2 linked regions of the Xenopus tropicalis genome follow. The protein of the gene in region 2 purifies or fractionates together with the protein of the main gene of each other region. This does not show direct contact. Links are inferred from orthologs where the notes say so. Each region holds a gene or a part of one and is shown on either strand. Other genes may lie near its edges.

Region 1 (3,658 bases), on a different chromosome or scaffold from region 2:
AGCAGGCCGAGTACCTTCCAGCTGTTGGGATTTAGATGCTGTGTGTTCCTTAGAGGGAGGAACAGTCTGGAATGCATCATCCCATCCCCAGCCATCATCAAGAGCAGAAGTTCTGTTAGGAGGGGGTGAAACCTGCTTTGTTTTGGACCTTGAGGAAGAAAAGTCAACCTGGAGTAACAGGACAAATAAGTAAAAATAGAGTATACGTTGCACAGAAATGTACAAACAGCATGAACTAACCCTGCACAAAGTGCCTGCAAGGCTGTAAGAGAAGCAGAGTCACATTTAGTATCAGCCACTTACAGTTTTCTCCTGTGTTTTCCCGTGGCCCCAGTCTGTGTCCCAGTCGTCATTCTCAGTCTGACCCCTGTTCTGTTCGGCATCCTGCAAGGAAAACAGGCATACTATATACATTGGGGAGTATACTATTCCAGCCCATCACTCAGGGTTGGGGGTCAGTGTTCCTATGTTTCAATACCAATATTTTCTACCCCACCTCTAGGCTGCCCCAATCTTCATCATCCCATCGATCTAAGGAATTATCCGGAGCACCTTTTTCTTCTTCAGGTTCATAACTGGTTGGGGCAGTTGATGCAGCAGCAGGGGGAGCAGATGATGAAGGAGCAGTATCTTATAAAAAACACAATGAAAAAATAGTGTTAACAGGTGGTTCCTAACAAGACCAGCCAAGGTAATATGGAAGCAGAGGGTCATAATATTATAATGCAAGAGCTATAAATATCCTGTGAATTAAAAACGGTTCTTAGTGATGTCATTTCTGTCACATAACATTATGCACATAAATAATAAATGGTGGAAAATCATGTACATGTCATATGACAGCTACTATTTTCATAGGTGGTTGTACTTCCACCGCAAGGAGGGAAACTACTGATACAGGCGCTCTTTCCCATATAATTATATATCCACTTCTAAGTACAAATACAAATGCATAAAAAGCATTAAAATCAGTACAGTACAAAAAATCAAGTTGAAACAGGGCCAAGTGGCACAGGTAAAAATAACATAACAGATAAGCTCTGTAAAATGAAATTCAGCAACCCTAGGATTAAACAAATGCAGGAAAGCAAAGTTCATAGATAGTCAATGTCACTAGCACTGTGAACTTCAAAGAGAGCCACTAAGTTGGAAGCCTGCTATTAGCAGTCTAAAATCTCAGAAACCATTAAAAATAATTTTAAAAAAGCATAAACTGCAAAAGTGCACAAAAAAGCACCCTAGGTAAGTTTGAATGAATTCATTTTCTAAGGTACAGTTGCCCTTAAATGCCCTACATGTAATGCAGTGCATCTCCTGTCTGTGTATTAGGTTGGTACTTTAGATTATCTGCACCTGGTTTGCTTGCTTCTGAGGCAGTTGAAGGTGCCGATGCCCCTTCTGAAGCAGCTGCATCCTGGGCTCCACCACCTGTGCGGATGAACTTGGAGGTCAAGGAAGAAACGCCAGTGACGGCCCAGCCAGCCCAGCCTCCCACAACACTTGGGCTTACGGAAGCTGTGTGTACATCCTTCTCTGCAGAAATTAAAAAGTAATTATATTTATATCAGAGGAAGATTCATATTGGTAGTCAACTTCTGAAAAGCAGCACCAAGTTTCTGGAGAGAGAGACAGACAGATGGAGATTCTTGCTTTGTACAAAGTCCACATCTCTCATATATTCCTTCTATTCTTGTGTCCGATTTCAAGGTAAACCCTGGCTTTTGGTGGCTGCGGCTCGTGGGGGTAGGTTTGGTTGATGAAGAGATGCACTACATTCAGGATTGTATTGTCTGTTTGCACACAAAATGCCAATTGCTTTCTGCCCACTGGCTAATCAGCGATAGAGGGGTAGTTTGTCAGGTCAGTAGTGGCACTGTGTGCAGTTACTTGTGACCACCTGTGAGAGTATGGGCACCAGCACAAGACAGCTGCACTGAGAGATGAGACACTGCATAAGGCAATGGGTAGCACTGGTTACGTACCGACTGTACAAGCATGGCCACAGGCACGAGACAAGGGTGCAGGGATAACAAACCTGGGCGATGCTAGCATCACTTTATGTATAAAAGCAGAGGCAGAAGTCACTGCTGTGGTTTATGGAATCTGAGTCCATGACAGAGCACCATTATTTACACACAAACAGATCTGTAGATTAAAAGTGAGATAAATATGGCACTTACCCAGCTCTGCCAGCTGCGATGGATCCTCTGATACTGTCTCCAGTTTATCCAAAAAGCTGCGGATTGCTTTGAAAGCCTGAGATGAATAAATGCCCAAGTCATGGGATGTAGTGATTGGTCACTGACATTACAACCAACACAAAGCTGAGCCCTACTCTGTAATATCGCTAGGGCTGATATAAATTCTGATGCCTCACCTGCTCTCTGACATTTTTCTCTGGATCCACAGTGACCCCACAAAGAACTGGCAGAACCTTTCCAGCACAGTCAGTCAAGGAATAAAAGTTGTGTGTAGCAGCAAAACCAAGAACACCTGCTGCCCGCGATGGCGAAAACGGGTCCTTGGTGGCTCGGCTGAAGGCTGAAATCAGAACCCTCTGACGTGTCTGCAAAAAGGGAAAGCTTGCACTGAGCACATGTGCTTGCACTTCTTTCATGGCAACAAGCTTCCTGGATTTTAAGGACAGTGTATCCCAGTAATGATAGATGTATATTTAGAACATGTACCCAGTAGCAATATGCACACACAGCTTACACATAAACACTTACAGCAGGATTTAAATATGGCGCAATCTTCCCAAGACAGACAGTTGTGTTACAGCGGATTGGTCCCTGATCATCACGTGCCTGGAGTCTGGCAAAATGCTTCATTAGCTCCATATTGAGGTTATTCTCATTTAGCTTCGGGGCCAAGAGCAACATGGACTGAAGGGAGAGAATAGAATATTATTAAGCTTTTGGCAACAATGTATACTCGTTGACTGCATTCAAACTATTCGACCCTACGTATTATAAACACTATTTCCTCTCATTCCTGGGCCTGGGCTTTCTGACCCCTGCTGCACACTTAGGGAGAATCACAGCACTTCCTTGTCTGTCTGCAGTCACTTCCTACTGGAACCAATCCTTCCTGGCCATGATATATCTGGAATTAGCCGCACTTGCTCAGTTAGCAATCATCAAAGTGGCTTTTGCATCTAAACTGAATGGCAGGGTTTTCCCCAGAACCTACCAAGAATAAACCTTAGAGATAAAGAGTGGGTGTCTGTTATGCATGGCCATGTTGCACATTACTTACCTTTACTGTCTGCTCCCGAATAGCAGGGTTGGTATCCATAAAACCATGTACGACGTGAGGGAAAATCTGTGCATTGACTGTTGGTTCATTTAAATACTGGATAAAATTCTCCATCTGCCACATAAAAATAAAGATTTAATGTACTTTATTATCAGATTACAGCTGAATTACTAGTATGGCCTTTAGTTTTAAAATGGTGCTAAAGATTCTCAGTTGGATCGAGATGAGAGGTCTGACTGGGCCGTTACAGGACATTCACCTTGTTGCCGCTGCAGGGTTGCTATTACAGGTATTGGATCCCTTATACAGAAATCCATTATCCAGAAAGTTCTGAATTACGGAAAGGCCATCTCCCATAGACTCCATTATAAGCAAATAATTCTAATTTTTAAAAATGATT
Region 2 (3,658 bases):
CAATGTATCAAGTCTCTGAGAAACATTTTTACACCCCAAGCTTGTTGGCCTGGGTTAGAACTACTTTCAGAACTGGCATAAAAGCAGATGTTTCACTAAAGTTACTGGTGCTCACAATGTGGGTGTGTATGTTTAGTCCTTCTGTGTAGTTCCGAGATTCAATACTTCTGGCAATGTTGTGCAATCCTGCAATTATTGCAGGGGAAAGCTGAAAAAAGCAAGTAGCAAGATAGAGTTAGAACATAAGACTAAGTTGTACTGTATCTGTAGCATTACTTAAACTTGATATTAAAGGAGAAGGAAAGGCTAAATCAAATTTTAGGGAACCCCCTGTGATTGTTATCACTTACCTGATACCCCTGGCTGGTGCTCCTGTTAGGGTAAAACTCTACCGGCCTGGGGTATATGGTAGTGTGTTCCTCTTCCTTCTGTCTTCTTTCTTTAGAATCCCAGGGCCTATGGATGCACAGTTGAGTGAAAAAGCCAGCCTTTTTGTTAAAGTTGGCTCTCTACTACACATTTGCCAAGACCGAAGCAGAAAGAAGAATCGCTGGCTGGCATACACCCCAGCCGGTACAGTTGTCTCCTAACAGGAGCACCGGGCAGGGTTTTTTAGGTAACAAATTACAATCACTGGGCAGTGACATGCCCAGTGATTTAGCCTTTCCGTCTCCTTTAAACTGCATATTGTGCATGATGACAAAGAAAATCACAAAACATTTCTTAAAAAAAAAAACAGATCAAACATTGTAACACAGAATTAAAGAATATTTTAAAATTATATTAAACACACATTTCAGCTTCAGTATGTTTTGAGTTACCATAGTGCTTCCTCTCAGGCGTTTTAAATATAGTTTCATTAACCATTTCTTTAATTGAAAACTAGGACTTGTCAGGAAAAAACAAAACAAAAAAAAAAAAACCACACAAATCATTCAAATAAAAAAATAATTACACATTCATTTTTTTATTAAATGTGCCCATTCTGACTCAGATTGTAAGCTCTACGGGGCAGGGACCTCCTTCCTACTGTGTCTCATACCACATGGCACTTAAATACATATATGTATACATATATATATATATATTATATCACTTGTCCTCCCTGTGTGTAATTTTGTATTCTGTAAGACTGTACAGCGCTGCGTACCCTTGTGGCACTTTATAAATAAAGTTATACATACATACATACATATTGCAACCATATGGGAACATATTTTAACATTTGAAAGTCCAGTTCCAGTTCTGTCCCCGTTGTAAAATCCTTACATCATTATCATCTTTCTTTTACAAATTATTACCCACTAGTTTCAGTCTCAAACACGTAATAAACTCCTAAAACTGTTGCTGAATATTTTTAATAATTTTGCCTTTAGTTAATGTTTCTGCACAGAATATTAACTTAGTTATTAAAAACAAATAATGTACAGGGGCGTGAGAGAAGTATAATTAACAATCATTATCAAGGTGAAGGTGACTGGTTTTGGAAAAGGGTGTCTAAACTCAGCAATGAGCTTTTTTATAAAGTTTTTCCCTACTTAGAAAGTGGACCATCTGGAAACTGAAAAAAAAGCAACAAACCTAGTAGGAAAGGTTACACATGTTTTTTTAATCTAACCAACCACAATTAATGTGTAATTGCAGAGTGCTCTTATGAATTTCAGTTTTACACAAAAATCCAGCTTATGGCAAAGCAGCAGTGACAGCTACTTTGTCAACTGGATTCAAGATATTAAATTACGAATGCTAAAATGAGAAAGAAATGGGGAAAGAGTTGTGCAAAGTGTGGTCCATAGACACAGGCTACATTAGTCATTTCACCCTCTAATAGATGCCAGAGGTTACACAGCTAATACCTAAAAATGAAAACAAAATATAATTATGGATAGTCTGGCAATGCACTGTGGCATTGGAAAGATGGCTGTTCTCTGTGTAATTTTTACATTCCACTGTCAATCTCTGCAAATGTGCAGAAGGATAAGTGCATAGTATTATTTTAATATATCATATGCAAATGATTTTTGGTCAAACATCCTGCTGGGAATAGTGTTTATTGTATAAAGGTCTGCTAAGCTTCAACCTCTTCTTTGAAAATAATGCCTATGAAATTAGTCAGCAGCTAATTTCTGTTAGGGGAGTACAACAATATGGCATGCTTATACACACTTACCGTTTGCTCTCGCAGTTTATCATAAAGATATTCTAGGCGTTTATTTGCATCATCTAGCTTCCGCTTGGTTTGCTGGTAAAAAAAAAAAAAAAAAAAATGAAACCATTTTTCTTTCAACTATTTTTTTACAGTGTAAAATCTAAACACACTATAGTATTTAAAGAGATTCAGTTATTTTTATGGAGTAGTTTTTATTACTACACAGTGTACATTGCAAATATTTAATGCTATCATTTAAAATGTTATTCTTGACCAGTAGTTGTAATGTTGGTGCATAGGCAGCCATATCAGGTCACTGTGCCTGACCCCCTGCTTTCAGAAATAGCCAGCACTGCAACTAAGATAAGCTGCTGTTTCTCCTACTCAATGTTTTTCCCAATCTGTTCAACTGACTTAGCTTGTGTCCTTTAATTTCTTCTTGGGTGCTATTCTCTTATCTGGGAGCATTTTTATCAATGCAAATGATATCTGGATTCATTTTGATCTATACAATGTTAAAAACTTCTCCAGGCTTCGGGAAACTAAGGTTTTTACTGACTCTTACTGCATTTAATATATTTGTGTTGACAGTACCCTCTGTCTCTCACTGTATCATTTATTTAGGACCTGAAGTAATTGTTCTTGGAAGTTACTGTTGGACAGTTTTCTACCAGGAGCGCTATTACTCTAAAGCAGGGCAGTGACAGCACAATAGGCTGCATTTTGGAAAAAAACAAAACAAAACAAAAACAACATTTTTTTCCCCATATCTTAATCCCTTTAAGGAGCAGCTAAGTGACAAAAACTTAATCCAACCCCTACTGGGATCTTTCATTTCAACATTTGCAATCCACTTACAGTGTACCAAGTATAGGTTTCTTTTGAAGTATAAAAAGTGAAAATGTAATTTTATTTTTTGCCTTTACATCCCCATTAATAGTATAGTCATTGTCTTTTCTTTGGCCTTAATGGAATGGTTGACCGTTCCGTTAAGATAGAATTGTAGAAATACAGAGATTTGTCAGTCAGGCCAGAAAATATGATTTAACATCAAATTTGATCTAAACATATGGTTTTTGCCCTACATTCAATCTTATGTTATATACCGGGTCATTTGCAGAACACAAGCATCTTTGGATAAGAGCCTCAAATGTAGTCTTTAGAATCAGGTGTTCTCCAGGAATTGGATTCTTGACAATTTTTTCAGCTGGTAGAGTATGAATAGCCTGTAGTACACAAATACAAACTATATTTAGCTACACATATATACAAAGAGCATTCCAAACACTGTGTAGCAGTCAACAAACAGCTAGTAAGAAGCTCATAAATGTTTTTTTATTTTTTTTATTTCTAAGTTTAAAGTTCTAGTTTAAATCACCTGAATGGTATTGCCAATGGGTGCTCCAGGGGCACCCTCCATACTGGGCTTTGAGGACTCAAGGGGCAGTCCAGGTTGACTGTTGCAGGGCTGTGATATTGGAAAGGAAGTCTGGGTACCAGGTTGTGCTA

What was found. Proteins that work in one complex are often made in the same cells at the same time.
Region 1: the proteins of sec31a (region 2) and scyl1 purify together in Homo sapiens (affinity purification with mass spectrometry; 3 studies listed by BioGRID and IntAct, counting the BioPlex papers as one, with this or other methods). This does not show direct contact. The link is inferred for Xenopus tropicalis from reciprocal best matches to the Homo sapiens genes SEC31A and SCYL1.

What each region holds. Positions count from the first base shown.
Region 1 is NC_030680.2:33,680,386-33,684,043, forward strand, and holds part of scyl1 (N-terminal kinase-like protein), read right to left. Parts: intron 3,373-3,658; coding exon 3,259-3,372; intron 2,886-3,258; coding exon 2,730-2,885; intron 2,567-2,729; coding exon 2,378-2,566; intron 2,257-2,377; coding exon 2,181-2,256; intron 1,534-2,180; coding exon 1,354-1,533; intron 631-1,353; coding exon 497-630; intron 385-496; coding exon 304-384; intron 169-303; coding exon 1-168. UniProt on the Homo sapiens protein: Regulates COPI-mediated retrograde protein traffic at the interface between the Golgi apparatus and the endoplasmic reticulum. Involved in the maintenance of the Golgi apparatus morphology.
Region 2 is NC_030677.2:85,402,438-85,406,095, reverse strand, and holds part of sec31a (protein transport protein Sec31A), read right to left. Parts: coding exon 3,528-3,658; intron 3,376-3,527; coding exon 3,256-3,375; intron 2,243-3,255; coding exon 2,171-2,242; intron 209-2,170; coding exon 29-208; 3' UTR 1-28. UniProt on the Homo sapiens protein: Component of the coat protein complex II (COPII) which promotes the formation of transport vesicles from the endoplasmic reticulum (ER).